Linked DNA regions of Rattus norvegicus. The protein of the gene in region 2 interacts with the protein of the main gene of each other region in a pairwise test. Links are inferred from orthologs where the notes say so. Each region holds a gene or a part of one and is shown on either strand. Other genes may lie near its edges.

What was found. The genes of interacting proteins can lie anywhere in the genome.
Region 1: the proteins of Ptpn9 (region 2) and Rtn3 interact in binary tests that used the Homo sapiens proteins (3 or more experiments, as listed by UniProt). The two-hybrid records come from large-scale screens. The link is inferred for Rattus norvegicus from reciprocal best matches to the Homo sapiens genes PTPN9 and RTN3.

Annotation. Positions count from the first base shown.
Region 1 is NC_086019.1:214,049,819-214,053,384, reverse strand, and holds part of Rtn3 (reticulon-3), read left to right. Parts: intron 1-2,313; coding exon 2,314-2,521; intron 2,522-3,566. UniProt on the Homo sapiens protein: May be involved in membrane trafficking in the early secretory pathway. Inhibits BACE1 activity and amyloid precursor protein processing. May induce caspase-8 cascade and apoptosis.
Region 2 is NC_086026.1:66,286,398-66,290,731, forward strand, and holds the start of Ptpn9 (tyrosine-protein phosphatase non-receptor type 9), read left to right. Parts: upstream 1-1,525; 5' UTR 1,526-1,547; coding exon 1,548-1,610; intron 1,611-1,716; exon of another isoform or gene 1,717-4,334. UniProt on the Homo sapiens protein: Protein-tyrosine phosphatase that could participate in the transfer of hydrophobic ligands or in functions of the Golgi apparatus.

The DNA.
Region 1 (3,566 bases), on a different chromosome or scaffold from region 2:
CTTACTACATCCCATAGTGAGAATCCAGCTCTGTATCCTGTCCCAGTCACCCCACTGCCAGTGGCCTAGGTTGTAAACCCAAACTTCAGAATCTGTACATTATCAGCTGAAAGATTGGGCAAATGGTGAATTCTGTTGTGACATTTTACACATGTATGTAATATAGTTTGATCAGATTCATACTCTATTAGCCCTTCTTGTTTCCCTTCCATTCATTGAAAGAGATATCCCAAGTAACACAAGTTTTGTGATCACATCTCTTCAAGAAGCTGTGTTAGCAGGGTGGTCAGAAGCCCAAGACCAACCTCAAAATTAAAAAGTGAAAAAAGTGGAAAGGTGAACATAGCTCTTCCTGGCACCACATATCCCAGGCAATTTGGCATGCACATCTAATCACAGCTGGCTCAGAAAGTGGAGATAGCCTTGAACTGCTGGCCCTCCTGCCTCCAACCCTCAGGGTCTGGGATTGCAGCTGTATACCACCACACCTAGCCAATTTGCTGTTTTAAAAGCAGTAATGGCAGTGCCCCCCACCCCCCAAAAAAAAGAATTATGGAGACAAAACTCTGCCTTCTTACTAGTTTGAACACCCATTCTAATGGCTTCACATTAAACTTCAATAGCCGCCCTGTTTATCACATTTTTCTCCTCTAACTCTACCAGAGAATCAGAAAGGTAAAAGTTTCCAAATGTTTTGCCACACCACCCCCCCTCTTTTTTTTTTTAGGTGTTTTGTAACTGAATATGCTTGGCAAATCTCTATATGTTGAGGAGCAGTATCAGGAAATGAAGGGAAGTTGTTCTCACACTGGCTCTGGGTTATGAGGTTGGCCTGTCACAGATTTGAAGAGCCTGTTATAAACAAGGTGGTGGTACGAGCTCCTAGAAGAGACAAAGCTGTAAGGTCATACAAAGTGGTGGAATACAGAGTGTGGGCAGGAAATAGGGCAGGCCAAGGCCTGAGTGAAGCAAGGACAAGCTGTGAGGTTGGAGGTATAGGACAGTTGCTCTTTATCTGCCATTCCCTAATACCCTTTTTCTGGCCTAGGGCCTTTCTGTACAGTTAGGCAGTTCATGTTCTGCAGTGCTCTAGGGGCACTAGTCACATGTGATTGAATAACAACTTTCCAGCAGGTGGCGGTAAAGTCCGTGAGGATACATGGCGTTTTTCAACTTGTGCAAGTATAGAAATCTATTTCCTTTCTTTGTAAAAACTTTTAGATTTATTAATTTTATTTATATAAGTGTTTAGCTATCTGTATGTATGTATGTATAAACCATGTGTGTGCCTGGTGCCCCTGGAGGCCAAAAGAGGTCTGTTACTCCCCTGGAACTGGAGTCACAGACAGTTGTGAGCCAATCTGTGGATGCTGGGAACTAAAATCAGCTGGAACTGCTGAGCCATCTCTCCAGCCCCCTATTGTTTACACTGGTAGTTTTTAATAATATAGATTGGCTTTCTGTAGGATATTTCTCCAGTTGAATTTGTCAAGTTATTTTCTCTTTCTAAAAAGGTACATATTTAGGGCTAGAATTCCATAGAAGCAGTATTGTCATATCCAGGGACATGTATCATCAGTTTGTTTGATTAGTTGGTGACATGAAACCTCTCTGCGTTCTATATTGAAACTACACTTATAGGCACATGAACTCTGGCATAGTATGTGCCTGAACTCTGACTGTAGGAATTACCCTGCTTAGTGCCAGCCCTCTTGCGTAAGTCTCCTGCTGTTCAGTTTTCCTGTATAGTCTCAGTTCAGTCCTGTGCACCTGAATGGTACCCAGTTTTCTCCCTGATTTGCAAAACCTCTACCTGAAACTCAGTTTCCCATCAGGAATCTTGAAACCTCTCCTTCCTATTAAGTCACATAAGTTTGTTGCATGTAGGTAATAATGTAGTCTGCCTGCGTTGGACCTGAAACAGCTTTAGGGGGACGGTGCCATTTTCTTCACTTTACAATGGAGAATGACTTAGAAAGGTGAAAAGTAGCACAGGTAGAAATGACCAAGACTCAGAGTTTCATCTTTCCAACTCTAGAGGCCTTGTCCATTTTTATAAGGCCAGACTGGGCAATTGAGCAAGACCCTGTCTTAAGAAAAAAATCAGTAGATATGTGTCACAGGCCTACAATCCCAATTCATAGGAGATCAGGAGTAGAGTGCAAGGTTGGGCTATAAAAAATAACCCATAATAACAAAACCAAAAAGAAAGAGGTGCCAGGATACTAGGGAGATAGATGGCCCAGTCAGTAAAACATAGCACAAGCAGGGTGGTCCTGGGTTCTCTAACTTCTGTTCCCTCTCTCTTGGCAGTGCATGATCTGATTTTCTGGCGAGATGTGAAGAAGACTGGGTTTGTCTTTGGCACCACGCTGATCATGCTGCTCTCTCTGGCAGCTTTCAGTGTTATCAGTGTGGTCTCTTACCTCATCCTGGCTCTACTCTCTGTCACCATCAGCTTCAGAGTCTACAAGTCTGTCATCCAAGCTGTGCAGAAGTCAGAAGAAGGACATCCATTCAAGTAAGTTTGCTGAGATTACACATGTCTGAAGTTCTAGCCTATCCCTTATAGCTGATTGATGGCAGAAGCATTCACTAAATACCTTGCAGTCACCCTGAGAAGTAATCAGGTTAGTATCTGAGAACTTGTTACTCACTACAGGCTCAGACTTAAGACTAAAGAGAGCTCTAAATCCAGAATAGGCACAGACTAGCTTGCCCAAGGCAGCCCTCAGTCAGCCACTATGTCCATGTTTCAGCCCTATGTAGTAACAGCTAGAAACCAGGAGTTTATTCTGTTTGTTCCAGGTTTTATTTCTGATTTTCTTTTGCTCTAGTGTAGTTTTCCTGGGACAGGGGAGCAGTTATTTTTAACCTTTAAATATTATTTATGTATATGGCTGTTTTGCCTGTATGTGTGTCTGTACAAGATATGTGTGGTGCTATTGCAGGCCAAGAGTGCATCTGATCCCTGGAGTACAGGTTATGAGCTTCCCTGTGGTTGCTGGGAGTTGAACTCTGATCTTATGGAAGAGAAACCGGTGATCTTAACTACTGAGCCAGTCCTAATCTGGAGGCAAATTTTAATGCCTTTCTGGTTGAACTCTGACTTTAACAAATGCTTCCTCATGTTTGTGCTGTTGAAATTTTTTGCCCATAAAAAATTGTATTTGAGCTTTAGCTTTTAAAACTCCTTTGTCTCAGAGAAAGAGCTGCTGTGACCTCTCTAGAGTAGCCACTAGCTCCCTGCTAGGGCTTGTACTTTCTGTTGATAGAAATAGAAGGGATAACTTAAGTCAGATGTGCCCTTAGAATTATATTGTAAATTAATCTTAATGAGCCAGTAGTGTTGACTGAGTGAATACATTTTACAAGCTCAGATATCTTAATAATGGTCCCTCTCTGTATCATTTCTGTGAATTTATAAAAAAAAATTTTTGTTAAATCATATTAGTCCCAACATCTGGGGAGTGTTTTTGTTTGTTTTGTTGGGACAAGGTCTCAGTGTATCTCCCTAGCTGGCCTAGAGCTCACTGTGTTGATAAGGCTGGCTTACCTGCCACTGC
Region 2 (4,334 bases):
TCCCAATAGGTCAAAATCAACCTGAGTAAAGAGGGAGGTCAGGTTCCATCCTGTTTTTAAAAAAGTTCTCCAAGGGCTGGAGAGATGGCTCAGCGGTTAAGAGCCCTGACTGCTTCCAGAGGTCCTGAGTTCAATTCCCAGCAACCCCATGGTGGCTCACAACCATCTGTAATGAGATCTGATGCCCTCTTCTGGTGTGTCTGAAGACAGCTACAGTGTACTTACATATAATAAATAAATCTTAAAAGAAAAAAGTTCTCCAAGACGAGCATCAAAACTTACAGCATTTCTTTCCTCTGGTTCTTTCTCGGCTTCAGTCCTGGGAGACTAGCTGTGGCACTCCGGTTTGTTGAGATCCTTCTGGGATACTTAACTTTGGTCTAAAATAATGAAAAAAAATCACAGTAGGCCCTACCCTGCTTTCACAGTGTCCCTGAGAGATCCAAACTCTGCTGCCTTTACGCTAGAGTAAGATCAAGAGTTTGCAAAGGCTGTGGGCTTCCTGAATGAATTCTGATACAGGATGTCTCTCTCTCTCTTTTTTTCTTGTACCGGATTTAAATTAGCTACAATGATGCTGGGACTACAGGCTACATTCATTGCGCTAAGAAACCTGGCTCTTGCTTATCTGTCAAATCCTAGGCATCTGATCATCTTGGACCTCACAGGCAACCTTTAAGACACTACCATGAATAGGTGGAAGCTGCCCATGAATGCCAGGAAGAGCGCCGGTCCTCGCACAATTTGGGATTCTTTTAACTCACAGTCGCGTCTTCCTCCTGCTCCCGTAGGGGAGTTGCCTCTCAGCCCCCGCAGCCCCTCCCCCGCCGCTCCGCTCAGCCTCCCCTCCTCCCAGCTCCTCTCTGTCTCCCCCTCTCGGACAGCGTCCCGGTTCGGCCCGGCCCTCCCCGGCGCCTGTTTGTGAATGAGATGCTCAGTTTCTCAATGGAGCCGCGGGGGGCTCGGGCGGACTCGGCGCAGGCCGCAGCGCTGGCCCTGAGCCGGGAGGGGGACGCCTTTTCCTCGCTCGCTCGCGCCCGCCCTCCCTGTCGCCGCCTCGGCTTTTGAGGAACTGGGCCGCGAGGCCACCGAGCAGGTCGCAGGGCCCGCATCCCCGAGGACGCCCGGGCTGGGCGGTCTCGAGGCGCCGGCGAGCTCTGCCCCGGAGTGAAGCGGCTCGGAAGGCCGACGGCCTCACGCCAGGCGCCTTCGCGGTGGGCTGTAAAAGTTGTGGATTCCTTAAAAAAAAAGAAAAAAGCAAACAGACCGGGAGCTGCTGTTAGTTTCTCGCCCGCACTTTCTCCTCCTCAGGAGAGGAGGGGTGCTGTGAGGAAAGGAGTGAAGCAAATAGGCATTTCCTCTCCGCGGGAAGCGACAGCCGGTTCTCCGCGGCCAGCAGGAGCGGCGTTGGCAGCCGCCGCGGGCGCCGGGCGCTCGCACCATGCGCGAGCCGGCCGAGAGCTACTGAGGCGCCGGGCCGCAGAAGCGGAGCGCGAGTGTAGCGGGCTTGGGCGCTCGCCCACCAGACCTGCCTCGGCGGCGGCGGGATGGAGCCGGCGACCGCGCCCCGGCCGGACATGGCGCCGGAGCTGACCCCCGAGGAGGAGCAGGTAAGCGCCGCCGCAGCGGTGGGTGTGTCCGAGTCTCCGAGGCCTAGGCCGGCCTCTGTTAGCCCCGCTGTTCCCCTCGCTCCTGGCCCTCAGCGCTCTTGCTCACATTTCAGGCCTGCGGGCTGGCCTCCCCGGGCCGGAGACCGCGCCCCAGGCCGTCGCCCGCCCATCCCGGCAGCCGTGGGACCCCTGGCTTGGAGCTTCTTTGCCTGGAGACTTCCGGGGGTGGGGGGAGGGCTCCGTGCCGCTCCATTTCAATGAATATTAAAGTTCCTCGAACTGGGTTAGGCTCCCCACTGGATAATTGCAGGACAGCTTGCCCCAGGCCCTTCTACTCTTAGGACGCTTTTGCATTTTCTTTTCCTTGAGGGTCAGTTGTTTTCAAGGGCAAGGAAAGCCAATTGGGGGAGGATTCTTAGGTGGTTGTCTCCGTTCTCAAGCAGAGGGGAGGTAACGCTGGTAAAATAGGTGCCCCACATTCTCAAAGGAGCCCTTCAGGCTTTCAGACTGCTGTGACGGGCCTACTTGGACAGATCCTGAAAGATCTGTCCCCCTTTTAGCTCCGTAAGTCCCTGGCCTTGACCTCCCTATTTTGAATTCCCAGGCTAAGCTCTTCCCCTTGTCCCCATTTCCCTGCCCCCACCTCATCTGACAATCTCCATCTTTCTGAAGCCCACATTGGAGTTCCATTGTCCCTTTTTAAAGCTCGTGACCTTAAATTCCCCAAAAGGAGTAGCTTGCGTTATCATTTGAGGGGTTTCAGTAAAGGAGAAGCCTAGCACTCTTGTAACTTTCCACCCCCATATTCCAGCTGTGGAAACACGGACTAGATGAGATTAAGAACCCTACGGGTTGGGCTCTTGCTCTCCTTGGCACTGCTCTTATCCAAACGTAGGTTGTGCTTAAATATGGCCATAATCTGGTTGTACCTTAAAAAGATAAAATAAATGAAAGAGGAAAAGGTGAGGCGTGTTGGTAATAACCCATTTCACACTCTCTTGCCTTTGTTCAGAGGCCTACATTTGCTAGCGCAATCGGTTGGGAAGACAGTCTATTTTGACAAACTAACATTCGTTTAATTTTTTTTAAAGACCCTTTTTTATGGTTTATTTTTATTTTATTTGCATTGGTGTTTTTGCCTGCATATATGTCTGTGTGAGGGTGTCAAGTCACTTGGAACTGGATTATGGATAGCAGTGAGCTGCCATGTCAGTGCTCAGAATTGAACCCAGGTCCTCTGAAAGAGTAGCCAGTGCTCTCTCCAGCCCCAAGACCTGATTTTTAAAAAAGTCCTTGACTTTTCTTTTGTGGAAATGGAAATGGTGTTTTTGTTTGTTTGTGTTTGGCTCTAGATTATACTCTTATTAATTTTAGATAAACTCAGAATGGGTAAAAAATTTTAAAAGTACCATTTAAAAAATAATTACAAATAGTGGTAATATCTTGGGAACTGCAACAGGGTGTTTTCAAAATTCTAGTGAGACAGTGCAAGCAGGTAGCCAAGGAGCTCTGCCAGGACTGGGAAATGCCTCAGAACTAATATGTTAGATCGATTTTTCATTTTTTTAAATTTTTTGAGTTTAGCTAGACCAAGCTGGCCTCGAACTTACAAAGATCCGCCTGCCTCTGTCTCCTGAGTGCTGGGACTAGAAGTGTGTGCCGCTGACACCACTGCCATCACACCACAGGTTGATTTATTTTTACTTATTTATTGCTCATCAAGTGACTTCTTTTTAGCACATTATTTCCTTTCATTCCATTCCTCAAATGGTCTTAAGATGAGTATTTTTCTATTGCACAGTACATATACCACTTTATATTAAGTGGTGTACGTGTCAATTGCACAGTATATATACCACTTTATAGTGCCCCCTCTTCTCTTCAGTTCTGAGGATTGAATCCAGGACCAAATTGCCAGTGTTCAGAGCAATTTTTATTTACATTTTCTTTCACCTACGCGATTACAGGCTCATCGAGAGTGGGGCCTTGTCCTTCGTCTTTATAACACCTGCAAGTACATAATAATGAGGGCTAAAAATACTGTGTAGTGGGCTTGAGAGATGGCCCAGTGGTTAAGAGCACTGTCTGCTCTTCTAGAGGTCCTGAGTTCAAATCCCAGAAACCACATGGTGGCTCACAACCATCTGTAATGGGATCTGATGCCCTCTTCTGGTGTGTCTGAAGACAGCTACAGTGTACTCACATATATAGAATAAATTAAATTAAAAAATATTATGTAGTCACACAGGATATTCAGGAAAGGCTGAAAATTTAATATCCTTTTTGATATTTTCTTGCCATTCTTGATTTTAGAAAAAGAAAAAGATCTTTTTTTTTTTTTTTTTTTTAACAGTAAAAGCATTGTTTATCTTTAGGAAACCCAGAGACAGCCATTTTTTTTTTCATTTTATTCTTTAATGATCTTAATTGGCTTTATTATTGATTTTAGAATCAGACAAGTCATAAAATAAAGCAAATGTCCCTCTGAGGCGAGAAGAGTTTGGTTTGGTATTAAAGTGGAAGAAAGAAGAACCAAGAGCTAACAGTGGGTTGATCTTGTCAAGTTAACTGGTTTTTGTTTTTTGGTTTTAGTGTTTTGAGACAAGCTCTCACTCTGTCTTCCTATTAGATTTTGAAGTTATTATTAGATTTGTTTTAAAGGGACTTTTTCTGTCTTATTTCCCCATGAGGTCCATTGGATTTGAAGTGTCAAGGCCTCACCAA